Daphnia pulex: one gene and its partners. The protein of the gene in region 2 purifies or fractionates together with the protein of the main gene of each other region. This does not show direct contact. Links are inferred from orthologs where the notes say so. Each region holds a gene or a part of one and is shown on either strand. Other genes may lie near its edges. The genes, in order: F-box DNA helicase 1-like, S-phase kinase-associated protein 1-like, E3 ubiquitin-protein ligase MYCBP2-like, protein prenyltransferase alpha subunit repeat-containing protein 1-like, F-box/WD repeat-containing protein 5-like, F-box only protein 9-like and YY1-associated factor 2-like.

What was found.
Region 1: the proteins of S-phase kinase-associated protein 1-like (region 2) and F-box DNA helicase 1-like purify together in Homo sapiens (affinity purification with western blotting; 8 studies listed by BioGRID and IntAct, with this or other methods). This does not show direct contact. The link is inferred for Daphnia pulex from reciprocal best matches to the Homo sapiens genes SKP1 and FBH1.
Region 3: the proteins of S-phase kinase-associated protein 1-like (region 2) and E3 ubiquitin-protein ligase MYCBP2-like purify together in Homo sapiens (affinity purification with mass spectrometry; 4 studies listed by BioGRID and IntAct, with this or other methods). This does not show direct contact. The link is inferred for Daphnia pulex from reciprocal best matches to the Homo sapiens genes SKP1 and MYCBP2.
Region 4: the proteins of S-phase kinase-associated protein 1-like (region 2) and protein prenyltransferase alpha subunit repeat-containing protein 1-like purify together in Homo sapiens (co-immunoprecipitation; 3 studies listed by BioGRID and IntAct, with this or other methods). This does not show direct contact. The link is inferred for Daphnia pulex from reciprocal best matches to the Homo sapiens genes SKP1 and PTAR1.
Region 5: the proteins of S-phase kinase-associated protein 1-like (region 2) and F-box/WD repeat-containing protein 5-like purify together in Homo sapiens (affinity purification with western blotting; 16 studies listed by BioGRID and IntAct, with this or other methods). This does not show direct contact. The link is inferred for Daphnia pulex from reciprocal best matches to the Homo sapiens genes SKP1 and FBXW5.
Region 6: the proteins of S-phase kinase-associated protein 1-like (region 2) and F-box only protein 9-like purify together in Homo sapiens (co-immunoprecipitation; 9 studies listed by BioGRID and IntAct, with this or other methods). This does not show direct contact. The link is inferred for Daphnia pulex from reciprocal best matches to the Homo sapiens genes SKP1 and FBXO9.
Region 7: the proteins of S-phase kinase-associated protein 1-like (region 2) and YY1-associated factor 2-like purify together in Homo sapiens (affinity purification with mass spectrometry; 3 studies listed by BioGRID and IntAct, with this or other methods). This does not show direct contact. The link is inferred for Daphnia pulex from reciprocal best matches to the Homo sapiens genes SKP1 and YAF2.

The regions. Positions count from the first base shown.
Region 1 is NC_060017.1:4,720,554-4,724,592, forward strand, and holds the start of F-box DNA helicase 1-like, read right to left. Parts: upstream 2,801-4,039; 5' UTR 2,689-2,800; coding exon 2,569-2,688; intron 2,475-2,568; coding exon 2,347-2,474; intron 2,291-2,346; coding exon 2,074-2,290; intron 2,006-2,073; coding exon 1,932-2,005; intron 1,864-1,931; coding exon 1,698-1,863; intron 1,625-1,697; coding exon 1,163-1,624; intron 1,086-1,162; coding exon 833-1,085; intron 765-832; coding exon 706-764; intron 648-705; coding exon 375-647; intron 312-374; coding exon 254-311; intron 193-253; coding exon 1-192. UniProt on the Homo sapiens protein: 3'-5' DNA helicase and substrate-recognition component of the SCF(FBH1) E3 ubiquitin ligase complex that plays a key role in response to stalled/damaged replication forks.
Region 2 is NC_060019.1:12,034,505-12,037,574, forward strand, and holds S-phase kinase-associated protein 1-like, read right to left. Parts: upstream 1,765-3,070; 5' UTR 1,738-1,764; coding exon 1,607-1,737; intron 1,358-1,606; coding exon 1,227-1,357; intron 1,080-1,226; coding exon 871-1,079; intron 771-870; coding exon 594-770; 3' UTR 501-593; downstream 1-500. Other genes in the region: heat shock protein 90-2-like, read left to right, coding at 2,992-2,999, 3,067-3,070. UniProt on the Homo sapiens protein: Essential component of the SCF (SKP1-CUL1-F-box protein) ubiquitin ligase complex, which mediates the ubiquitination of proteins involved in cell cycle progression, signal transduction and transcription.
Region 3 is NC_060019.1:11,823,075-11,827,223, forward strand, and holds the start of E3 ubiquitin-protein ligase MYCBP2-like, read right to left. Parts: upstream 2,801-4,149; 5' UTR 2,659-2,800; intron 2,402-2,658; 5' UTR 2,337-2,401; coding exon 2,214-2,336; intron 2,153-2,213; coding exon 1,922-2,152; intron 1,855-1,921; coding exon 1,701-1,854; intron 1,630-1,700; coding exon 1,415-1,629; intron 1,352-1,414; coding exon 1,222-1,351; intron 1,154-1,221; coding exon 984-1,153; intron 913-983; coding exon 745-912; intron 678-744; coding exon 459-677; intron 394-458; coding exon 168-393; intron 108-167; coding exon 1-107. Other genes in the region: sister chromatid cohesion protein PDS5 homolog B-B-like, read right to left, coding at 3,783-3,906, 3,995-4,111. UniProt on the Homo sapiens protein: Atypical E3 ubiquitin-protein ligase which specifically mediates ubiquitination of threonine and serine residues on target proteins, instead of ubiquitinating lysine residues.
Region 4 is NC_060019.1:9,416,919-9,419,954, forward strand, and holds protein prenyltransferase alpha subunit repeat-containing protein 1-like, read left to right. Parts: upstream 1-1,201; 5' UTR 1,202-1,295; coding exon 1,296-1,402; intron 1,403-1,503; coding exon 1,504-2,443; 3' UTR 2,444-2,536; downstream 2,537-3,036.
Region 5 is NC_060022.1:5,214,614-5,218,617, forward strand, and holds the start of F-box/WD repeat-containing protein 5-like, read right to left. Parts: upstream 2,801-4,004; 5' UTR 2,611-2,800; coding exon 2,536-2,610; intron 2,471-2,535; coding exon 2,350-2,470; intron 2,236-2,349; coding exon 2,078-2,235; intron 2,005-2,077; coding exon 1,831-2,004; intron 1,751-1,830; coding exon 1,427-1,750; intron 1,354-1,426; coding exon 1,257-1,353; intron 1,185-1,256; coding exon 1,103-1,184; intron 1,038-1,102; coding exon 805-1,037; intron 745-804; coding exon 615-744; intron 551-614; coding exon 437-550; intron 364-436; coding exon 243-363; intron 151-242; coding exon 59-150; intron 1-58. UniProt on the Homo sapiens protein: Substrate recognition component of both SCF (SKP1-CUL1-F-box protein) and DCX (DDB1-CUL4-X-box) E3 ubiquitin-protein ligase complexes.
Region 6 is NC_060025.1:1,307,189-1,311,202, forward strand, and holds F-box only protein 9-like, read right to left. Parts: upstream 2,779-4,014; 5' UTR 2,582-2,778; coding exon 2,579-2,581; intron 2,492-2,578; coding exon 2,410-2,491; intron 2,341-2,409; coding exon 2,258-2,340; intron 2,177-2,257; coding exon 2,041-2,176; intron 1,975-2,040; coding exon 1,802-1,974; intron 1,742-1,801; coding exon 1,688-1,741; intron 1,621-1,687; coding exon 1,573-1,620; intron 1,514-1,572; coding exon 1,452-1,513; intron 1,383-1,451; coding exon 1,226-1,382; intron 1,165-1,225; coding exon 877-1,164; intron 800-876; coding exon 608-799; 3' UTR 501-607; downstream 1-500. Other genes in the region: out at first protein-like, read right to left, coding at 44-172; speckle-type POZ protein-like, read right to left, coding at 3,168-4,014.
Region 7 is NC_060019.1:11,515,374-11,518,763, forward strand, and holds YY1-associated factor 2-like, read right to left. Parts: upstream 2,113-3,390; 5' UTR 1,985-2,112; coding exon 1,953-1,984; intron 1,780-1,952; coding exon 1,724-1,779; intron 1,651-1,723; coding exon 1,581-1,650; intron 1,511-1,580; coding exon 1,358-1,510; intron 1,279-1,357; coding exon 1,062-1,278; 3' UTR 501-1,061; downstream 1-500. Other genes in the region: ubiquitin-conjugating enzyme E2 N, read left to right, coding at 1-136. UniProt on the Homo sapiens protein: Binds to MYC and inhibits MYC-mediated transactivation. Also binds to MYCN and enhances MYCN-dependent transcriptional activation. Increases calpain 2-mediated proteolysis of YY1 in vitro.

The DNA of each region.
Region 1 (4,039 bases), on a different chromosome or scaffold from region 2:
CATCGGAAATGTAGACATGAGATTTTCGAATCGCATCGACATACGTCTCCGTTTTACTTTTCGCCCAGGTCACTTGAGCTATTCTCGCTCCCCACTCGTGGTCCATCGTGGCTTCTACGTATTTGGTGAAACTGGTGAAGTTTTCAAATAACTTCCGATTACGTAGAAAGGGACTGGTAATTTTGTCGTAGGCTGCAAAAAATAAGTTTGATATTCATTCAGCATAATTTAGCATTTTTAAGATTGAAACTACCTCCTCTCCAAAGATAATAAACGTCCATTATAAGGTCCAATCCCATGTTCTTAATTCCCTAAAAAATGAAATTTTCTTTCATTATTTACATCTCACAAACTTGAAAATAAGTTGATGTTACTCCGGCAAAAGCGATTTTAGGCTTCTGGGAACTGCTACCAAATTCACAACCAATAACTTCCACGACTTTCTTGAAAAGTGCCAGGTTGGTCCTAGCCAGGTAGCAAATCTTGCCGTTAGTTTGCAGTTGGTGGTTTAGTTGATCATTGGCATCGCTGAGCGATACCAGTGCATCGTGCACATCAATGCCTACCAAGCATTTATCATTGACATTATTCAAGACGGATAGACAGGAGTTGGCCATGAAACCAATTTCTGGTCCAAATCGGAATGACTAAGAAGAAGAAAAAAGTTAGACAATATAGCTATAGAGATTTGTTTCATGAAGTTACTTGAGTCAAGTAAAACGTGTGGGTAGCAGGGACTTTATTCAGTGCATTCACGGCATATCCTGGATTGAAGAAAGAAACTTATTAGGCAACCTCAAATAAATAAACGTTGAGTTTATGCTATTCTTACGCCAACGATAGATCTGCTGATGTGGATCTCCGACGATAATGCGTTTGCCTATGTTGCTGAGAAATATATCGAGCATGGCTCCGTTCAAATCTTGGCCTTCATCCACCATCACACAGTGAACTTTTTCAGTTTCGAATAAATTCGGTTTTTCCAACTGCCAAAGTTTGAGGAATGCATCACACGGCAATTTCAGACGCCTATCGTTTGGATTCTTAATGACAGACCAGACTTTTTGGGCGTCGGCCGCTAATTTCTAAAAAGAGGCAATTAATGGAATAACAGGTGTTTTTTAGAGAAGCAATAAACAGAGATTAATTAGCTGAATCTCACCTGTCGTTCATCGAGGGTCAGAATTCTGTCTTCAACAACATTTTCTCCTGTGGCATTATCTTCAGATGACGATTTGCTTCTGATTTTGGTGGGAGCATGTTCAGGAGTTATTGTATCATCAGCCGAACCCCAAAACCGATTAAGGGTGTCAAGAACCAGTTTCTCTCGTTGATATCTTTTTAGTCCTCGCCGATCCTTTTCAAGTATATGGCTTTTAACTAAACTCGTTGGGAAAATGTTACCCGTTTCTTTATTCTTCATCAAGCCAGTAGCAATGATGTGGTTACGAGCCAACTTATGAATCGTCGTGCATTTTACGTTTTTCGGAAATTTTCCGCCGGCTTCATCGGACACTGCTCTATTGAACACAATAAGCAGAAATTCGGTTTCTGGATTATTTTCGGTAAAACGTAGCAAAGTAGTAGTTTTCCCGCTTCCAGCAAACGCCACGATCTTGATTAACTAAAACAAACATGAAAAGAAATTCAAAGTTTTAATTTTTAGAAAATCTCTATAATTAATTTAAGCAATTTACATCATCTTTTTGGATGCGATGATTTACAATACGCGATTGTTCGTGTGTCAATGGAGGAGGTGAAGACTTTTGCTGGCTTGATGACTGGTTTGACACTTGACTAATAGGGGCACCCGTCCAGCGATTCTCAAACAAGTTGAGGGCATATATCAAATTATAATGCAACCTTTGAGATAAGTAAAATAACTTGTGATTATAAGAACAAAGCACAAATACACATTAAAGAATGCATACTTAGCTGGAATTCCAAACTTTCTGTGGAAGTAGAGAAACAAAGTGCATAAACAGTAAAATTTCTCCATTACCTCCTATATGCAAGGAATATGTGTTAGAGGAGGCAAAACAGGTTAAATTAATGATGGAAGATTGAATTTACCATTGTCGTGAAATCACTTTCAGAATGCGTCAATAAATCAAACAATCTATACATTTCCCATGTATCATTTGAGAAGATGCAAATCATAGCAGTAATCCCCCAGAGTGAAGTAGTTTTATACTGCTCAACCACTAATCTTTCAGCTAAACTGAAGCGGGTATGACTTTTCAAATACCTCATGGTATTCACAGGAGACCCAGTGAACTCCAAAAAATAGCTAAAACAGAGTTATTTATACTTAACAATATAAAACTTTTGGTAAATATGTCTTACAAAATCAAACCACGGAGACAGTTTTGCACTCCCGTAATGTTGTATGAATCACAGAGTTGGTCCAGGAAAGCAGTAGATTCCTCAACATTCAAGCTGTATGAAAGATAAAGTTTTTTCCAAGGTATAAACTGAAATAGGAGAACAAAAGTATGTCAATGTTCTATTGTTTAAAGAGTGGTTTCAAACAAAAATGAATGCCATATCGGCCATATACTACCCTACCTTCTGTCGACAAATGATTTCCCTCCAATTTTGGCACACAAGCACACATGACTTATGAAGATCTATAACAGGTATGTGGGCCAAAATATTTTCAAGCACTTGAACAGGAAGATTATTCATTTCAAAATTCGAAAATACTATTTTGTACAGAACTACAACCAGAGTTACAATTTCAACGTGTAGACGGACTCGTAAACGCGTCCGGTGCGTTGTATTTACGTTTTTCAACCAAAACAATAGCACAATCTAGCGTCCATCTAGCGTCCAAAATATGAAGTTTTTTTTAAATATCCAACTCAAACAAGAAAAAACCAGTTAATTAATCAATCAAAGCTAATTTCATTTTGATTCAATTAGTATAGAAATACTGAAATAGATTCATGAGATAAAAAAAATAAACTCGAATAAAAATAAAAGCCCAAAAAAGTGAAACTGATTGTGTCGGTTTTTAGAGAGTTTATTTTTGAATATTCTTCTCCAAACGTCTTTTTTCCCCAGCTGGGCAGCATTATTAAAGAGAAAGGTTCATACAAATGCATTATTTCATTTTGTTTATTCAGGAGAGTTACAGAAGCGGAAAAAACTGAACCAACTGACAAACTAGACACTAGATACAATCACGTGATGATGCGATGGGTAACGTTTAATATGATTGATATGGCTTAGATAAAGACCTAGCTGACCAATTAAGGATCTAATTTCCATTCCATTATATCAGCGTAGATGGCACTTGGGTTAGCCACAAGGGCACTTGTTTCGTAATATTTGGTCGTAAGCTTTCAAGCTTATTTGATGGTTTAATAAGTAACACTTATCACAATAAGGCGGCAAAGTTCCATGCAAGGTTGATTTTATTTCCCACACTACAAAGTTTATTTTTAATGATTTTGGACTGGGCATTACTTCATAGATTGGACGAGTTGCACTCTTGTATGGAAGGTCAACAAACTTAATAATGCAGTAGATGAAAAGGCATTCTCATCCACACGTTAGTGATTTCCTCTTTCGCTGAAATCAGCTTGAATGATTTGTTTTTTTAAGTACCAACGACACCTCCCATAAATAATAGTGCCAGGATACGTCGTTATCCATAAAGCTAATAGAAACGCAATATGTTACTTCAGCATTATCTTCTCAGAGGTATTGTTGTTTTAAACGTATTGTGAATATTGACGTATGCGGTAGTAACGGGAGCCGATATGTACAAGGCCTTCAAAATGGAGCCATTTGTGTACCTTGTTACTCGATCTTTACAGTTTGATATTTAGCCTAGATTATAGTAAGTGAACTCGGTTGACAGATGGTGGACGTCACATCGTACGAGCCATCACAATTGACGCAATCGAGGTGAGCCGTTCACTCTTTGACCTTCGTCTACTAAACAAATAAGTTGATTGAGTCTACGAGATTTCAAATTTCTAGGCTTACGCTCTTTGCGATAATATCAATATAATAGCTGCACAAAATGTAA
Region 2 (3,070 bases):
ATCAGCACGCACCAGTGAACATTTTCTTCCGACTTCCCGTGAACAATTATTTCTACGAAGAAAATGCAATCTATGCACATTATAAGAAACACTACATATTATGCATACAAAACGTATGCAGGGAAAATTATAAAATTAATGGTCAAGCCGTCAAGGTATCATGCCTATCATCTACCTATGAAAACCAATGATGGTGTCTAACTTGCAAAGCATTTCTAGTAGCTAAGCCCGGATATAATCCGCGAGTCCCTTTATCTTTTTCTTGATATGCTCATTTTCAGGAGACCATCTAACGAAACAAAATCTAAAAATAATGCAGTGTTCAACACACTGACACACACACACACACACACACACAAAAAAACCAAAACTTGTACATTATAATTGGCAAAACGGGAGGTTGTCTAAAGCACGAGCTGTTTTAAAACATACAGTTAATTCACCAGTGCACTACGGAACTTCGTACAACTTGTTCTTTTGTTTGACTATACACTTAAAACTGCTTTTTAATTTATTGTATTCTTGGCTTGAAAACATGAAGTTGGATACAAAGGTACATGTAACATGTGAAAACAAAATTTCGTCGAGATAATTTACTTTTCTTCGCACCACTCGTTCTCCTTGCGTACTTGCTCTTCCTCACTAGGGGTGAAATCGTTCTTGATGTTGAAGGTCTTGCGAATCTCTTCTGGGGTTTTCCCCTTGATCATGTTTGCAACAGTCTTGCAAGTAACATCCAGCAAGCCTTTAATATCCAGATAATTGGCAGCCTAAAAACAAAAATATGTACATTACATTTCACTAACATTTTTAACTTAAAACAATTGTAGAATGTTTTCATAGGTGTGATATCAGAAAATGAACACTTACCAAGATGAGTTCAAACAGAGTTCCTTGATCTACTTTGAGGAAATCAGCATCCCATGATGAGATATCATCAGTACGTTTTTCCTTATTGTCATCATCCTCTGGTGGTGGGGGGTCATCTTTGTGGTAAGTTGCCCACTGAATTACTTTACGTAGAATAGCAGAATTGACATTGGGTAAAGGAACAACTTCTTCGTCATCTTCATCCATTCCTAAAACCAAAATTGAATTTCAATTGAACGTTACCTTTTTTAAGCATTTGAAAAGAAAATAATGACGCATTTGCCTATAAATATCTTTGTGGTGCAACTTTTGATTTTATTTGTTACATTAACATTAAGCTTATTGAAAAATATTACCTAGATCCTCAAGCATTGTTTTGATTGTTACTGAACACTTGGCAATTTCGACATCAACCTCAAATGTTTCTCCATCGGAACTCTGCAGCTTGATGTTTGGCATTGTGTGAATTGTGTTTGTTCTCTGAAAACTGAAATACACAAAAAAACTTTTTGATAACCAAAAGTCCAGCAGCAAAGAACAATGAATGGATCAAGCCCTCAGGAGAACCAGCACACACATTCCAAACAAAAATAACAGTCAAGAAAATCACATCATTATGGGAATTATCTCAAACATTATGGGTACATTTTCGAGTTTCTAACTCTCTAGTCCGTATTGTAATAATGTTGAGAAAATTAAGCTTGGAGTTCAACAAAAAATTAAGCAAATTACGTACTTTTCTATAAAGGTTGCTCTAGAGCAAATGGCGCTGGTGCTGGTCTGAAAAATGTTCAGTAAAAATGAACCCTCCTCTCCTCCCTGTTTCGCTCTGTGATGGAAAACATCACTGCAACTTTCGCATCGCATAGTATACACTCGGAGGGGAAGGGGCGAAAGTATACCAACAGTCATGTTAAAGCGGTTTTTATGAAAAACGTGTTCTTTTCCAGTTTTCGAGATTTTTGAGTTTTGACTTCTGTGTATTCTACATTTCTTTTTGTTGGCAAATGGCAATATATAAAACCAATTAACTGATTTTTTTCTCTCTCCGGTTTTGCACAATTCGAGATGGCCAAATCCCCAAAATATTTTTTCCAAGCCATGGCGCCATGCGCAGTTTCCCGTAGGGATTCTAGTCACAGTCGAAGGAGGCTCAGTTTCGACACGCCACCGCTGCAATTCAAACTGCAAAATTCAATTGCAGTAATTAGACACTTAAATTTACGTAATTGTGACACCAATCACGCAAATTTTTGTAGGCATTAGATTTAAAAAAGAAATCTCTTTAAAATGGATCACATTTTACGAAGATATAATATATTCATTTTTTAAAACAGCGATTCTAAGTCAAACGGGGCTCAGTTTCGAAACGCCACCGCTGCAATTCAAACTGCAAATTCAAAACGACACTAAACATTAATACAAAATTTACGTAAATGTGTTACTTATCATGAAAATTTTTGTATGAAAGAGATTAAACAAAGAAAGGTCTTCAAAATGGATCACATGAAGATATACTAATAGCTGTATTTTTTACACAGCGATTCAAAGTCGAACGGGCTCACTTTCCCGGCTTGATGTGTGTCAACCCAAAGCTATAGTTTGCAGGCCTAACAAGAAGCGAATTTGGTGGCAGTTTTTACGACTGCCCGGCGGCCTTGTATACATGTAGATCCCCACCAAACGTGAACAGAAAAGCGTCGGGTTTGTTTGTTTACGTTTAAAAGCAAAGTAAGTTTTACCAGTTTTACTACTGGTTTAGACAAACAAATTGGTTTTTTACACATTTTTTGGTATGCCTCAAGTCCATAGATAGTATGTAGAATTTCAATTTGTGAGTGCAATCTACCACAATTGACAAACATTTCTTACTGAAATATTTTCCTTTCCCTTTTTAGATGCCTGGAGAAGATCAAATGGAAGATGAAGCTGAGACTATGACATTCCAGGCCAAGATTGCTCAGCTTATGAGCTTGATTATCAACACCTTCTATAGTTGATCTCCAACTGCTCAGATGCCCTAGACAAGATCCATTATGAATCCCTGACTGACCCAAGCAAGTTGGATAGCGGCAAGGATCTTAAAATCAAGATTGTCCCCAACAAGAATGACTCACTCTCATGGATATGTAAGTTGAGAAATTTGAAAAGTTCCTCCTATTTGAACACGAATTTGACTGTTCTGTTTCTCTTTAGTGGT
Region 3 (4,149 bases), about 210 kb from region 2:
TACCATGGCCGAACTTCCATTATTGCAAGCAATATCAACAACCACTTTCCCTTCAATGGATGAAAAACGTTTCGGTCGACTTGATTTCTGCTGCCTTCGATGCTTGGCTAATAATAATGACAATCGTTAAAATTTTCATATTGTAAGGGGGGAAATCACAAATTTACTCAAATCGCCGTCTTCTCCTCTTTTGGCCAACCCGGCAAAGAATGCAGTCCCGTCTGCACCCAAGAAAACAGCATGCAAGCCGTCATGTCCCGTGGCACAGCGAACAATCGACGGGCTTTTTGGAAGAGGAAGTTCATACCAGCGATTTGATGTCTGCTCTTGGTTATGGACCAACTCTCCAACCGTCTTCAACCCTAGAGAGGAAGCTTTCCCTTGGTAAGAAACCTAAGAAAAAAAAGTTTACTTTGTGCATACGCACAGCTATAATGACGAGATGAGGATAGTAGTACTTTTCCTGAAGAGGAAACCATCAGCATAAATTCCTTTCCAGCCACTATGCTGGTAAATCCTTCGTCAGCATTGAAATTAATTTGCCGTAGGTCGGTGTTTTCATCATTTATTGAAGCTCCTACAATGTATAGACTCTGAAGAGCCAATCTCAATCTACTCTCTCCAAATGAAAATAGCTCCCCTTTGTTGATTTCGAATAGAGTTGCATGGAGTTCGTCCTAATAAATTGTTTCGAAGCAGAATGTTACGAAACAAAATTTCTTTTTAGTATTGAAATGAATTTACTTCGTCTGTTTTGAAAACGCTTCCGAGACGGTTTCCATCTGAAAATAAAGACGAGTTTTTGCCGATTGAATCTTGCAGATTAATGCAATCTTTCAATGCCAATGTTTCGTTATCGACTATGTGAAGGTTTCGATCTTCCTTGCTGTAAGTATGAAGAAATAATTGTCCCTAAAATTTAAAAAAAAAAAAAAATATTATTGTGTCCACACTTCCCTTGTGATATAAGATAAATCAAATACATTGAAGAAAAGCAAAGTGCCCTTCTTGGGCACGTTTTTTTTGTTGGATGCGTACAATCGACCACTGACAGTACTACCAAGTCCTGATCCAATTTTGTAAAGTCCACAGGACGATAACAAGAAAATAAATGGCCCGTCACAAGCAATGGAGTTTTCAATCAAATCTTTGCCTGTTAAACAACAAAAAGAGTCGGTCATTATTATCGTGTGTAAATTTATTAGAATAATAATTACGTACCTAAATTCACAGAGAAGCATGTAACAAGTGTCTTCTGCTGGATTCCCTGTGTAAACCAGTCTGGTACATGAGAAGTTCCAATCACGGTGGACCGAACTCCTTTTTGAAGAGTCAGCATTATGTTGGGGAGCTATAAATAAAAAAGCACTCTTTTATCACGAAATTTAAATAAACTTGCTACAAAATTACTAACCACAATTATTTGAGCAGCCAACGGACGGGCAACTGTGATGAGAGCGTCGAGGGCTTGTAAAATTCGCGGAGTTACACCCCAAGCGATGACTAAACTAAGAAGACAAGACGAAGCCAAAGATGACAAGCTTTCTCCCACCTCTTGTGTTTCGATCGTGGAAGTATTCTCAGCATCAGTCATTGTTGACAATTTGAGAAGTAGTTCAAATAAGGGTTCTAGTATGAAAATGAACATGTATCGTCACTTAATTCTAAATTCAACTTCAAAATAGGCAAAGTAGGCATACCAACAACATGACAGGGCTCTGACATCAAGCTTTCTGGAAAGAGATTCTGCAGTATTCCTAAAAGAGCTTTTAGTACTTTGAAGCATAACTGAGGATGTGTCACCTGACTTTCTTGTATCAGATCAAATATGCTTCTCAGACTTATTACTACAACCTACAATTTAAAAAAATTATTGGTAATTTTAATAAATGTAGAAGCAGGAAAAGAATAACAAGTAAACCTGAGGAACTTGGAGAACTCGTTCACTTTTCTGATTTTCATCTGTAACTGGTTCTTCATTTTCTAAATCCAAATTGGAACTAGTGAGGAGTTTGCATAAATTATATCCTTTCTTAGCAGCCACATCTTGTTCTCTAATAATCAGTTTGCGCACAAATGCAAGAGAGGTAAAATATGAAGGATCTGCGTTGATTCCCAATTCAGAAGAAGTTATTGCAGAAACAAACAAGTCCTATATGAAATATAAATAAAGTATTATATTTGTTTAATTTGTTTAATTTTTAATAGCACACCTTGTAACCAGTCAAACATTTGGAATTATTGTTACATCTCCCTTTCCTAAGTGAATTTTCTACAACTTTGTGAAGAATTTTTCCTAGGAAAGATCCACTAGATAGTTCCTCTGAACTTTCCATCTTGCTTATTGTTCAATGGGTCAACAAGACATCTCTCCATCAGTTTTCTCAACTTCCAAAAAATTCTGTAGAAAAGAAGTAAATACTTCAGATTAGGTCATGTCATGAATTCAATCCAAGATTTTAATCATAACTTTTACAATTTAGAGTACAGTAACCCAAATGACCTTTTGACTTCACTGCTAATACTTGAATTCAAGGTTTTATAGGCGAAATCGAAATTTAAAGAGTGGTCAATATCATTTAAAGTATTCACCCTCACTACACTTAAGATTTAAAAAAAAACACACACTGTAATCATATAGGTACGTTTAGACCTTACTTTTTTAATTAACTTTCTTGCCTTTATATCCTAGCACCGCACACCGGCTAGAGACCTTGTCGACTGCTCAAAGTTGAGCTGTTTACTATTGTTGCACGGCCGATAGCATTTCAGTGATATATCCCAACAGTGCACGAATTCCAAGTTTGAGAAAATTTCGAGAGAGAAAAGCTGAACTAGTTTCAGAGCTACTGGTGGTAAAATTATTAACTATATTTTGTTTTTTGTTATATAACTTATCTTTTGGTACAGTAACTGAGTAACTGTACCAAAAGATAAATACTACAGTAAAATATAAAATATTTTTATTGGTATTTATTATTGACGTAATAAGCTAATTCAACGATAGATAACAACTTTGTTCTCCTCCATAGCCAGTCCATAGCCTATTTTTTTAATGACGACAAAATTTGGTTCAGGACAACGCCACTATCCACCAACGAACGCCGAGGAGAGCGCGAAAGATCAAATTATGCTACATAGAATACTTTCAATCTACAGTTACCAATGGATTCGTCAACACCACGCCTGATTTGTCCGACTTTTCCTTTTTTTAGAAAACTTTAATTATTGTCAACTAGACGGGCTTTCCTTTTCCTCTGCAATCAGGGTTTCAATACGAGCAAAGACTTAAGTCTTTCGAGATGGTAGGCAAATGTGGAGAGACAAAAGAAAAAAGACTAGGGAGCTATTCACATCTCACATAATAAGTTTGAAAGCTTGTTTAAACAATTCCGTGATGATCAAGTAAAACAGCAACACGACAGCCAATAAAAATAAGTAATGTAATGTAATGCCCATGCCCACAAATGTAAAATGAGAAACCGTTTCACAAGAGGGTTCAAGCGACGACTCGGGTAAATGAACTCGGTCGCTCAACGTCCAAGTTGAGCACAAAATAACCACATTTTAAGAGACGGGTGACAGCAGCAAACTTCTTACTTATTATTTTGCTCTTTTTCACTTTTTTTTTGTAAAATGGATATCATACGCAAGTGTGCAAGTGCTGAGGAGGTGTAGTTAATTGTAACTTCTAATAGGAAACCAGATAAGAAAAAAAAGGGAGAAAAAGGGGCATGGTGGTCATTTTCAATGTAAGCAGTATGAATGATAAGGAATTAACTTCAATTGGGTTTAGCCAATCGCGCGGATTTCCGAGCAGGCGTAACAACATTAGTGTCTTTTTCATCTTCCTTGTTTCGTTTTCTCGTCTTAACCTCCACCTCCAATTCTTCTTCAGCAGCGGAACTATTAGCAAAAAAAAAATAATCATTTATTGGCATGACTTCAGCTGCGTTCAGTTTTCAATTGACATAATTCTAGTGCAGCAACATACCTTTCCACTTCTTTTTCATTCGTTTCAGGTGCCGGGTTACGAGGTGGCCGTCCACGACGTTTAGGAGGGGATTCAGGTGGTTGTTCCGTTGACTCGGGTTGATCTTCGTTGCCGTTGCTAAAAAAACAGTTGATGAAAAGTTTGAGGATGAGTTA
Region 4 (3,036 bases), about 2.6 Mb from region 2:
GGTATAATATTTAAAAAGTTACACAGCTGTCTAATTAATCCACATAATTACTTTTGCTTTGGCATGAGGCGTACAGCCAGTACAGGCAGCAAGTGAAGACATCTACAAAATCAACGGCCGTCAGGCAAGGTCCTCAAACAATTTGGCCCAGTGCTATATGAGGCACTGCATATGCATTATAACACATTGAAGTATGATATGTTTAACTGCAAGTCTGCACAAGCTCCATTGAAGTGCATCCCTCAACTGGAAAAGGGCAGCAAAACCACTGCACAACGAACAGCAACACCAAACTGACCATGTAATCCTACAAAGGAAAGTAACATTAACACATCAATAACATTTTCCGGTGGAAAAGGAAAAAAATATTGATAATAAAATTTGCAAAGAAAAACCAAAAATACATGCAAGTCATGTTTAACTTTGGCTTACAACTGTAAAATGAATGATTCAAACACTTAGTAGTTAGTTAAGCCAATGATTTACTTGAAATGTACACTAAACTAGAAGATGACCGAAGACCAAATTAAGTTTTAAAGAATGAAGTGGATTTCTGTTCCGTAACATGAATAAAAATTTACAACTCTCCACAAATTTACTTAATTTAAAAGAACTTTCCACAAAAGCTCTTATTTAGAAGCATGGAATATGATGTCACTTGTCTCCAACATTAAGAACAACATTGCTAACCTACCTGATTAACTTACAAGTACAATATTACCTTTTCAGATTTCCACTTTTCATCACATTTTTTTGTCTTGCAAATGGCATATGACCCTCTCAAAGAAGCATCTTCATAGTTCATGACAAGGCAGCGATCACGTGGAGAAATGCAGAACATCTTCCGACATGCTTTCACAAGATAAATTGACGTAGATTAGAAAATGGACCTTTCAAAAATTTAAAACTCTCACGATTCACTTACTTGCTTTAGAATTGTTCTCTTTCGATTCAGCTTGGTCGAATGGCGTGGATATTTATATCTCATCATCTTTAAAATGTAAAAGCGAAAAACAGTAAAACACCGTCATGAAGCTGCAACACGATTCCGTCCGCTGTCTCAAAGGCAAATGGATGGAGGCATTTGGTTTGGTTTCAATCTAAAGTCTGAAGCCGACGATAACATATCGATAAATAACTAAAAATCGATACTACAAATTGCGATTACCAGAGCGGGCAGAGCTTCTGTTTACTAGCGCCACTTGAACTACTCTGGGCAATAATCGATGATGCAGTCGAAAAAAGAAAAAGAAAAAATTGAGAATTTAACGGCTGTTTTTGACAGATTTTGAAGGATGCAGCGAGATCCTTCCGACTATAAGAAAATGGCTCACGATCCTTACTGTTTAGAAGAAAGGATAATATCAGACCTTCAAGCTGTTATGAAAAAAGATCCCAACTTGTAAGTATAATTTAATGGTTTTTCTGCAACATCCTTTATGGTGATCAACACCAACTGTTTGTAAACACTAGTTTTTATATTCATTATATTTTTGTTGACAGAGATGAGTTTGATGTTGTTCCAGTAACAGAAGCCAAAAATCGATCACCAATCATCCATATTTCTCACAATCTTGGAATTGAAGTTTGGTGTGTAAAGACGGTTTTCATGTACTGCTATGAAAACAGTTTCAAATTGGATCCCATGTGGAAAAAGGAGTATTTGAGATTGGAAAGATACACAAGAGTGGCATTATTGCTTAATCCCAACATAGCTACATTGTGGAACACGAGAAAGAGATTGATTGCCAATCATCTCTTGGATGGCGATTGTGATTTCCTGCTCAGCAAATTAGTACTAAGTCAAAAGCCCAAATGCGTTGAAGCACTTTCTCACAGGCGTTGGCTACTCCAGCAAGTGTCTATAGACCCACAATGGGTGGAGACAGAATTGTCTCTGTGTGATAGGCTCTCCAGTCGCATGAAATGCAACTACCACGCTTGGTCTCACAGACAGTGGGTGTATTCTCACTCCCTCAAGCTGCAAGGCTTCAATCTCAATCTGTGGGCGTCTGAATTCGAGATTTCTGACGTTTGGACAAAGTTTCACTTGTCCGACCATAGCGGTTGGCATTATCGAAAATTCCTCCTTGATCATTTCAGGCAAAATTTAGGCAAAATTGAACAGAACATGGATATCGCCCGGAAGGTATTGGGCGACTCAACCGGTACAGCTACATCTTCCCAGCTCTACATGAACCTGCTGAACGAAGAACTGCAAAAGAACCAAGATTTGATCTTAAGTTTCAACGCCCATGAAACGTTGTGGTACTATCGTCGATTCCTTTTGCAAGCCGGGACAATAGATCATTCAGAGAGTCTCTTCATCGAAAAGTGTTGCAATCCCGCTAAAAGTAATAGCAACTCCGCCAACAATGTCGACGCCATTCAAATGAGATATTTGGAGCATCATCGACGATGGCTGTCTGATTTCTGTTTGTAAAATTTGACTAATGCTGCTGATTTAGGATCCGTTTGTTGTGTATAAAGGTTACTATAATAAAAACCATCATCCAAGACGGTTAAACTATTTAAACAGAGATACGGTTTATTTATTTCGTTCAGCTTGTAATCGTTGTTTCATTACAGTAATTCAGATAAAAAATACCACGCAATCCAGGCTTGAAGGCTTGAAGCTATAAAACTTGGTGAATTGGTATACGTATTAAGTATATACAAATTGAATAGGAGACGAGCCCAACACCTCAAGTGTAAAAAAAAAATAATAATAATAAGAGAATCAAGAAAAGAAGCAGTCAAGAGATCAACTATAATGCTAGTATAAAACTGGGTGGAGGAGAAATAACTTAAAAAAAGGATCATCGTAAAAAGAGAGGAGATTGCGTAGAGTCGAAGGCGATAAAAGACGGTCGCCAGATTACCTTTAATTAAATTACCTCCGCAGTTGCATACAAGAAAGAGGAGAGAAAGCTAACAATAAAAAAGAAATGTGTGTGTGTGTATGTGTGTGTGTGTGTAGGGAGAAGAAAAGGAGGTGCACCGGTTTGTCGTCGTGAAAGTGTGTTGTGTGTTGCA
Region 5 (4,004 bases), on a different chromosome or scaffold from region 2:
TCGAATCATTGAATTGGACTTAAAGAAACAATACAAAGTAAACGCCCATCTCCTATACCTTGCAACGTAATCCTTACTGACGTCCAGAAAGATAAAAAAGCATTCGTCATTAGGCGTGAATGACCGATGAGCCCGTAACAAAGATCCGACCTGAAAGGCAGAAACGTGAAACCATATTAGTTTCCCTCGCGTCATACCTTCTTACTTGGCCAATGGCCATATTTCCAATAGTGTTCCTATACCTGCTTCAATGTAACTAGATCAATTACGTGTATGTCGATCTCTTGGGCGATGGGCGGTGGTTGGAGGGGATTCTCTATAGTGCAACCTTGTGGCCAGGGTCGCACATTGACGTATAAATATCTGAAATCGGATATACGGATTTTAAGAAGTCGATAATAATTATTATGATGAAAACGAGGATCCCAAGTAATACCTGTGGTCTGGAGACAAAGACATTCCAATTATATGTCCATTCAAATCGATGATATGATCAATTGGGTCAAACCGATCGGCTACCGCCTCAAAGTCCTGCCAAACAGGTTCGGGACTGGAGATTTTGGAAATGTAGAAAGAATTAAAATGATCAATTAAACCACGAAACCTGTTCTTACGGAGGAATTCCAAGGGCCAGAGATTCTTCCAAAGCTTGCCGCTCTTGCCTCTGGATAGCCACTCGTTCAGCCAAACTCGGCCCAACGTCGATGCGATTGCAAAAAGTAAACGGAGTGATTCGTTTCAAACCTGAGTAGAAAACGTAATTGTTGAAGGTTCCGGGTTCAAGGAAAACGCTATAAAACAAACCTATTTGATGCGGAGTGTAAGTTCTAGAACCCATAGTGAAAATTAGGAATTTTTCGCGGGGATCCAGCACTTCCTCTGAATCTTCGTCCGTGGCTTCAGATTCTGCACGTTGAGACCGTGCTCCAGTTCCGGAACTGGTAAACGGCGAATCGGATCTACCTGACTGCTCACCGGCTTCGTTATCTTCACTTTTTGAATCGCCCTCTATGTCATCGTCCATTGCGGATGTAGTACTAAACAATTGAAAAAAAAAATGTTTAAAATGAGCTTTAGAAAATTCAGCAATAGTTATTATTACCCTGAAATGGAAACGTCGGGAGAGTTTCGCCGCCAGCACTGAAACTCATCGGTAGTATTGATTGGCCACAAAGATCCTTCAGCTGAAACATAAGGCGAAATATTAAGATGCAACTGAACGCAGAACCCGCAGAATATCTAAAAGATCTTTCTACATGTTTCTTGGAAGGACTCTTTGGCTGAACCGGGATCTACAGTCTTGGTTCCGGCAAGTTCGGGCTGTGAAATTGGATTCCCCGTCTTGTGGCAGCTCTGTACAAAATCAATTAAAAGGGCGCTCTCCACGATTATGCTGCAAGTTACAGCGACTATCAAAAATGAATACTTTATTGGAGGCGCAATCGTCAGACGTGCCAGAGGGTGTCGGCGAGGAAGAAGACGTCTGATGTTGAGGTAAAGAGCGGCAGTTAGCCACCGTGATTGAGCGAATAGAAGAGGCGCTTCGGTTATAAAACTTGAACATACGGTTCATGATTGAAGTGAATTCCGAATCGGACTCTTGTGAAGCTCGATTCAACCAAACGATTGACGTACTAACGAGATGGGCAAGCCAGCGTAAATCACCGGATAGTAGGTAGTTGTCATTGTACCACGTACCAAAAAAATCGTAAGGCTTATTTGACATTCTGCACTGAATCACAAAGTTCTCCTGTGAATCCAAGATAAAATTGATTTAAATTAATTTTTCATCTAATGTATCAAGTAGCAGCTCCCTGCTACGGCACTTACCTCAAGATTGAAAACGGCGATTTCACCCGTATTTGAGTGATTACCAAAATGAACTCCCGATACCAACAGAAGGGTATCTGATTCATTAAATTGACTAAACTGAGTGTTTTTCCAGCTGTACACTTTCATATCATAATAATGTTTGATTCTGGCAGGATAACCAGCATCCCAAAGCTGCACAATAAGAAATATCAAACATCATTCAAGCAATGTACTAGATATACCAGTGTTTGTAATCTTTTAATACCATAACATAGCCATCTTTGGAGCAGGTGGCAAAATATTTGCCATTGTGCGAGAAACTGACATGAAGCACTTGATGTGTATGGCCCTTTAATACCTCAGTTTCTAATATTGGTGTGTGCTGCCACAGTCTCAGATATTCACTGAACCATGAAGTTTTGCCTAAACAAGGATGAGATTTACACATTAGAAGTCATAGATATAACACATTTGATAAATATGAGAGCAATTTTAAAAAATTTGATAAATTCAATAGATATGAGAGAGGAGATGTACCCGGAGCGATTCCAATTTTCGGACTGATGTTCCAGTCTCTTTTAAAGAAAGATTTCCACAATAGTTCATCTCTAGAGACTCTGTACCAAGTCTGGGAAACGGTGGAAAGTTTCAGTATGTCCTTGAAACATCAAGAGAAAGAAATTTAACTTGAAATGATGACTATAAACATGAAGCTCTACATACTTCTGCTTTGAGAAATCGAAATATCTGCAACAAAACGTGATCAGGCAGTTTACTCCAACCATTCTCCATGTCCATTTTAGATTAAATTTAAATCTTTTGTAAAATCATAAACATAAGATTTTCTGTGGAGATTCCAATTCAAGATGTTTCAACAGTTTATTCCGGGCATTTCATGTTGAAACTTTTTTTTGCTTGACGAACTGGAATGATGGATTGGATCTTGGCACAATTCACCATTCCTAGAAATAAAAACAACAATAACAACAAAGCGATAGTTATGGATGGTTGCCGCTAGATGACTCTCGCATCACTTTATTCCTCAAAAATATGCAGTGAAATCCCAAAAAGTGAATTTGACATTATTTGTAGGTCAGTGTATGGTTGACTTTGCAAAAATTGGAATGATATCACTAAAATATAAACTTTACAATTTAGGTTAAAGGAAAATTGCGAATCATTCAAAATGTTGACAAAAATGTTATAGCAGAGCGTGGTTTCGATCCACGGACCTCTGGGTTATGGGCCCAGCACGCTTCCGCTGCGCCACTCTGCTGTCTTGCTGATCACGAATGTTTTTTAAATAAAATGCAAGTGATTTGCAATGCTTGCGAATGTTGAAGGATTGTTTTTTTGTCTCTCTTGCCTACCAATGTTCAACAACAATCGAATAAATGATTCCATAACATTTTGACACAAAATAGCAATTCCTATTCATTCAAAGCCACTGTAATCGATGCGTTACGTCTGAAATGAGAAAAAGAGACCGTTCGATTTTCGCTAGCAGGAACACGAAACATTCAAGTCAATTTTTCTCGGACTCGCCGACATACGTTGCTGAGAGGTCAAGCTACTAACAAGCAAGTCGCGAGTTCATAGGTCATGGACTGGTTGAAAAATCGGGCGACGTCGAGTCTAAAGTTTTTTGTAAAATAGACGCGCTTCTCCGTCAAAGCCACTAGCCAGTTTCGACGAGATCAGCAGCAGCATCAACTATAAGTTCAATCAAGTTTTTGGTTTCTACATATTGATGAAGCCTTCCAGACTGGACGAGAAAGCCAACTTGTGGTCAACCTTGAACATGTAGGAGGATGTAGCTATTGAGCCAATGCTGTGTCGGTGTTGATCCAGTTGTGAGTCTCTTGTGACATCCACCAGCTCCACTTGTTGTTTCGTATTGTTTTACTTTTACTTTTGGGTGTATATATAGTAGACACATGTGTGTGCGTTGGGCCGGAAGACGGAGTAGGCGGAATACGGCTATATAGACGCGCATACATATACAACAAATCCAAGAGAGGAAAAGCGCCGTCGTTATCTTGTATGTGAACTTCTCGGGGAAAAGAAGATAACGATGGACGGTCGTCGCCAGGATTTTTATCTCGACCAAAGTTTTTTTATTTTATTTTTCTTTTTTCGTCTTTTCGGTCAGGTAAAGTTCACTTTGGTTGCAATGAACTTGACAATGGCAT
Region 6 (4,014 bases), on a different chromosome or scaffold from region 2:
AGAGTCAATTATACCAAGCTTTTATGGTCAAACAGCAGTTTACCTGATTTTTTATGTTGATGACAAGCTGGGGATTTGAGGAGCTGAAACAACTCAGTAGAAATATTAAACAAGCCAAATGGACGCCCCAAAACATAGGGCTACTCATGTCGACTATTAAAATTGTTGGCATCAGGCGTCATACATCTTTGAAAAGAACTTCATTATTATTTTTGGTAAAAAGGGTAAAAAGACTGTATCAAAACAACTTTTGATGTTGATTTGTTTTGGAGAGACAGAGTATGCTATTACGAATTTACGACTTATAGGGCACTAATTTGTGGAAACTGAATAGCGGAAACGGAAAGACGGTAAAGCGCGCATGCGGGGTTAAAGGGGGAAACAATAAAAAAAAACAAAAAAAAACATTTCAAGGTTAAAACAAAAATAGCCAAAGGGAAATTGACTAGAGATTGACAATAATTCCCGATATTATAGACCTGCGTATAAGACTTGATACGTTAAATTGTAATTGCATTTTATTTTTGTAATTCCATAACAATAAACAGGCACAATTAATTGTTAAAATTGTTTGCATCTGATTGAAGCGAACTTCCTTACAGGATTTTTAAAGTGGTTTCTCACTTTGGGCATTATAGGACCTCACACGGCTGAAGATCAAGGGCGGAAAACGGGTAGCGGTTATATCAAAATTGGCAGTCGTGGATTCCTTATTTTGGTAAACAGTCTGAATACTGTAACGATTCCAATGAAGTGCGCAATGAAGTTTCTTCTTATTGATAGTCTTGATTTCCAATTCCTACATTCATCAAAGACGACAGTAGAGAAATAACGATTTAATTGCACCGCTCAATTATAAGGTGTCAGTTAACTTACCAGTTCGAAAATCTGCTCAATCATTGTGCTGCCGTTATTATTTGCTTCGTCATTCCTTCTTCGGTTTCTGTTATCGATTCGTTCAGTTCGTTCTGGAATCCGTTTTCGTTTGAAGATACACGTAACAACGTTTCCATGGAGCGTGTAGAAACCGCGGAAACAAGAAGGATCTTTTCTTTTTAGACGTTTACTGACTACCAAGCTAGGAATATCCGCAGTGGTGGACATTATAGCGGTTCGGTCAGGATAGAAGCGCAAATATCGAAAGTAGTTTACCAAATGCCACGGCTAAATAAAAAAAGAATGAAGAAAAATCACGGTAAGACATTTTCTTTCGGCAATATTTTACCTGATAATTGGTATCTTGAAAACTGTTCTCTCCTTGCCGCACATATGATGTTTTACTTATGTAACAGCCATGAAAATGAAGACGAGGACGATAAATGAACATGTCTCTATAGTTGGTAAAACCAAGAGTTGTAGGACTGGCTGGGCTGTTCCAGACACTGGAGACACAAACAAACATTTTCGTCATTTCCAACAAGCAAAACTATCTATACGGAATAAAAGTATACCTAAGGCACGCGAGTTTCCAAATTTCGGTGTCTCGGGAACAGACGTAGAGACCACGGCTAACCTGGAAACATGATCAAATAAGTGACGCTCCTGAAATTATAGCAAAACAATACTACTTACCAATGAAACTTGTTCTAATGACCGAAGATCCAAGTCAGAAGATACCACCTGAAGAAATTGAAATGTTAATTTTAGCGCTGCACATTTATGTAATGACCATTCATTTAAAAAATACCCATTTGAGAAGGTAAATAATAATTTCACGCGGTAAATCCGATATATGAGTACCCTAAAACAATTTTTTCTGTGAATGTTTGATACGCACAAGTCATTAAAAATGGTTTCAAACCTTTGGTTCATCGTGTGGGGTACAAACTAGACCATCCTGTAGTAATAGCCGTTCAAGCTTAACTAGCAAATCAACCGGAAGTTCATCATCGTCTTCATCATCAGAATTGTTGTTATGAACTTCTTCCTTCAAGTCTTTGTGACTTTTTGGTTCCGAAGTAGTCTCGCTGCCTTCTGTCGCACCCAAGAAAATTTAAACAGTGACAAGAAATTTTCAAATATAAAATTTGATTTTCTAACCTTTGTTCTTGGGATATGTGTATATTCTTTCTTCAATATCAGGGACCAACTGCATTGCTCGTTTGTAAAATTTTATAGCTTCCACAACTTCTCCAGACTTTTCATGTTTTACTCCACGTAGATATAAACTTTTTGCCTAGAGAATTTGGGTAATTGTTTAGTAACATAAATAAGCTAGATTGTGGATATGTTTAGAATGGTACATAGCTATACAAACCTCTTCTTCATCAACAGTTTCTTTACTCCCAGACTCGTGATCCTCATTTTTGGGTTTACTGCTGCTTGTCAGAGATTGCTGCACTGCAATGTTATGTTTAAAGTTTGGTCAACATTCACTAACAATGATAGAGCAAAGTGATAAATTTATACATCTGGCAGCAGAAATTTCAGTCTCCCATTGTCGCCGAAACGATTCTAGTAGTTCCTCGGTTGCTGGATCTTTCTCGGACTCCTGTTTGGCATGACAAAATGAAATCAAAAATATTTTGATTATATAATTGTAAATGTTTCTTATCCAATCAAGCTGTAGCAACCCTACCATTGGGAATGAAAAATAATAAACTCTCTCGGCTGGATATATGGTCAGTCCTACTTTCGGACGATACTTTTTTAACTGAACAGTAAGTCCACATATGCACAAATATACGAAATATTGGTGTAAAAGAAAATGGAAACAATCGAATTGATGTTGACCAAGTTAATACGTCAGTGGCTGCGCGACAAAAATAAAAATTTCGTCTGCTAGTAGCAGAAGCGGTGATGGAACACGCGGCCTATTCAAATTATGGCAAATTAAAGATTGCTTTGCAGACAAACCGAATGGTTCTAATATAAAATAAATCCATAAACTTACTCATGAATGCTGTATGTGGAATCACTATTATACTTGGTTTTCCTTCGGTAAAACTGACTCTAGGAAAGTAACTAGCGAACATGAAATTGTTAAGACAATTTGCAATCAACTGTGTTGTATTTTGAATGTTCCTTTTCACGTTATTGAATAAACAAATGTTTGAATAAGGACTTGAACAGATAAAAAAAAAATTCTTGGTACAAAAAATTAAATTCTTCATTCAACTTGATTTTGATTCAACTTCTTTGAGAGAAACAGATGAGCTAGATGCTCATTAAACAGCAGGGCGGAGGGCCATTTCTTGAATGTCGCACAACAACTTCGGGTGATCTTTTTTCGCCTTTTTCCATCCATCAGTCGCCATAACGTCAACTGGATTAATACGAAAGAAATCGACGGCTTCATTCTTCAAATCATCCACCAGTTGGTGTTCATTGCCGAGTAGAAGCAGCAAATCCATGCAATTGTCGGGAGTCATATGATGGAGCAAATGGACTTCACACTCGGTCTTCAGCTGGTCCAAGAAGTATTTGTCTGCGGCAAAGTAAAGTTGAGTTGCCATTTTCTCCATGGTCTTTGAAGATAAACGGGCAGTGTACACGAAACGAAGCAACTCGTGAAATACATCCGGATTGATGTCTTCAATTTCCACTTGATTGGACAGTTTCTCCTTGGTCGGATGTTCGAACATGGCAGCAAAGACTTTGCTTCTTGACGCCAAAATACTTTTGTGTGCTTGAAATTTTTGAGCACCGACGTTTAGAGTGACGTCAGCGTACTTGATGTTTTCGAACAAATATTCAAAGTGGTCAATCAGCTGATCACTGCAACTAATTGACTGGTCTTGGATTAGATTAGCTTTACCTGCGACAGGTTCTTTTTTCGCGTACGATTCAATCTCGCAGTGGAAGACGAGACTTCCGTTCAATTGCTGACACTCAGATTTTAGGATTGCATCTTTGAGAAAATTCAGATGGATGCTACAATAGCCATTCTTTTGAACACCGTATACTTGCTGGAGAACTTTCTGTCGTTTCCCGTTTAGGATTGATAATTTCATGCGAAAAGGGTCGACAGCCGTGACGCTCTTGAAGTTAGCGAATCCGGGAGTTGTAAGAAAT
Region 7 (3,390 bases), about 520 kb from region 2:
TCAAGCTCTATTGAGTGCGCCCAATCCCGATGATCCATTGGCCAATGATGTTGCTGAGTTGTGGAAAGTCAACGAGGTAGAAGCTATTCGTAATGCTCGAGAATGGACCAGAACTTATGCTATGGGAAACATATGAAACCTGGATCTGTGGAAGGAAAAAGAGTAAAATTGTCAATCCGTTACCGAGAAATTGTGTTTGAATTTAGATTATTTTGCTTTCTTTTGTTCCTCGTCCATCAGCCTTTGTCGACTGATTCCCCTCCCTTCAATTGGTTGAACTGTCCCCGATGGTGATCAGCCAAAAAACTACATTTTGCTCGTTCTTATATCCCAATCTTCTTTTGTTTGCTCGTCAAAAGTTCTATCGACGGTTCATTCCAATTCACGCGTCGTTAAAATGATCGTCGATAGCCTACACTTTTTACCGTTTAGTACCACGAGTACCTCAAAAGGATACTAAAGAATAATAAAAATGCCGTCACCCGTGGAAGTCTAGAGTATCAAATTGTACAGCTGTGTATTTACTTGTCGTGGATGAGGAGGGTGAAATTATAAAGACGGATGAGAGCGCACATTTATCACGAAACGAAAACCATCCACTCGACAGACATAATCAATTTTTTACCAAATCTTCCCCGACCTCTTCGCACCGTTCAGATGAGGTAGGTTCAAACCGAAAAAGGGAAGCGAATATTGGTACTGAGATCCGATCAGAAACAGGAATTCCCAACACTCAAAAATAATCTCCAACATTATGGAATTTCGTGGTTACAAAAAAAAAAAAGGGAAAAACTTTGAATCCAGAATAGTTATAGACAACTGCCTCTTGGTTTTTCATGTATAGTTTTCGGTTTGGACGTCTGTCGCTCCAGTTCTATCTCACTGAAATTCGGTTGGGACCAAATTATAGCCTTTATAGATATTTAAAAATTATATACTTCTTGGCAGTTGAGAAAAGATCGGTATGGGGTCAATTGGGTGCGCAAACAAATACAGTTCAAATAAAATACCTCGAGATGCTAAATAATAATAAAAAAATGAATCACGAGCAACGACTTTAGTCAGTCTGAATGTTCTTGATCTGCAGGGGAAAGATCGTTGCCGTGATTGCTGGCACTACTGCTAGAACTACTGGTCGTGTGTCCAGCATCCAGATCAAGGTTACTGGGAGATGTTGACTTGCTGCTAATTTTTGGCCGAAACTCAGTAATGACTACTGTCACATTGTTCACTGTCACTTCTTTGTGCATAGCAGTGCTTCTGTCAACATTTTTCAACCTATTTTAAACAAACAATTAGCAAGTCACACTGAAGGATAGATATCAAATTTTGTTTTAACAATTTTATTAAAACATACCTTGGTCTGGCTTTACTGTTCCTGGTGGGGTTTCCATCTGATGATTTCCTCTCAGATTTATCTCTTTCTTTAGATTCCTTCTCTTTTCTATTTTTGTTAGCTAAGGAAGGATTGAACACTTGAGGTACCAACTGAGGATTGAGCCTTGGTTTCCTGAAAACGTGCAAGTTTTGTCACATCTGTTAAATGTTTAGAAATGGTAATATTGCTAAGGAAAAATTACCTGGTTGAGGTTCCTTTTCTTACATCACACATTGAACATTTAAATGCCTCTGCATTATTTCTGTAGGTACCTATGTAAATAATACAATGTTCGTCACCATTTGTCAACATCTTTTGTTTTCATATTGCGCTTTGTCAACTTACAGACACTGCAGTCCCAGTAATTTTCTTCAATTTGCTTGCTACTCCGCTTCGCCCTTCTTGAAGGTACAGAAACCCCCATTAATATGATTGAAATACTTATAACTAGCATAATTCATAGTTACAAAAATAAATAAAAACAAGAATATGGTCGGTCAAGGCTACACAATAGGTGTACGATTGTCCCAAGTCCTTCCCTCAAAATCGAAAGAAAATAAATGGATAAATTTACCTTGCATTTGGACTGCCTTTCTTTGAATCCATGATCAAAACGATGTGAATCAATCAAAATAATTCAACTACTCGCAAACTTCGAATTAAAATGTAGGAATGGCATTACAAAATACGTTATTAATACGCGTTATTCTGTGCTTTTCGGCTACAAACAAGATATCGATTATCGTGTGATCGATACGGAAACTTTGACATTATTTTCAAAACAAAACATTGTGATTTGGAAAGAATTTCTTTTTATCAAATGCTTTACACTATATAATAAATATTATGGGGTGCGGATTGAACACTTTTTCCAAAAAAACTTTTCAAAAATCGATTACCATATTTGATTTAAAAACAAATTGATAATCGTTTTGAATATTGAAATCAAGTTGAAAATAAATTCAAAAATTGAAAACGTTTTGAAAATGAATTCATAAATTGAAAATGATTTTGATAAATGAAAATGATTTTGAAAAATGTAAATGATTTCGAAAAACTAAAATGAATTTGAAAAACTAATATGATTTCGAAAAATGAAAACGAATTTGAAAAATGAAAATGAACTTGAAAAATGAAAATGAACTTGAATATCCATACAATTTCGGGAGTGCGATATGACACCACCCTACTCTATCCCCAGCTCTCTCCGGATGCTATAGCCACCCCGAGACAACCGACTAGCCATTGATGGCTATGTCGCTGATTCCAGCCAGCAAGGCCGTCAGCGATACTGTCAGCCCTTGCCGGGCGGTGCTGGCCACCGCTGCCGCCACAACGGCCGCCGCTAAAGTCTCTCTCGACCGCAGGCCGAGTATTACCCTACACAAAAATAGATTACACGATCCAACGTGAAAAGTTTCATGTTCCTGCAGTAAATGACACACAGCCTACCCAGCAACGATGAAGACGCGTGAAGACGGAACGGCCGAATGGGTGGCTTTCACCTGAGAAAAGTTCCAGTCACGCCTCGGTATGACGTTCTCGCGAAGTTCTCGTCATTCCACTAACTGCCAATTGCCCGGAAAGAAGTGTTCTGGTACGTTTCGCTGGATAGGCCTATGCGTCCTGTACTGCTGCGATACTCTGCCGTTCAATCCGACGAGAAGAAGAAGGCGGACACGCGACACGCCGTCTTGCTGACGTGGATCCTCATGTTGGTGCTGGCCCTGCTGGAAATTATCCGCTATCTAAGCGGATTGGGGAGCTGGACTTCTCTATTGTCTCTACGTCTTTGCCATGTGGTCCACTTGCGCCGGAAGTGATATACAATTGGGCCATTTCCAAGGAAGAGCTCATTGGAAGGATGGCTCTGTCTCAGCTGCAGCGACGGATTGAACACCAAAAATTGGCGCAACGTCTATCTTTTCTACCATCATGGAGGCAGCGGACATGGCGGTGGAGGCCAAAGAAGAGGATCCAAATGGTCATGTTGCTCATGTCCGTTTCAACAG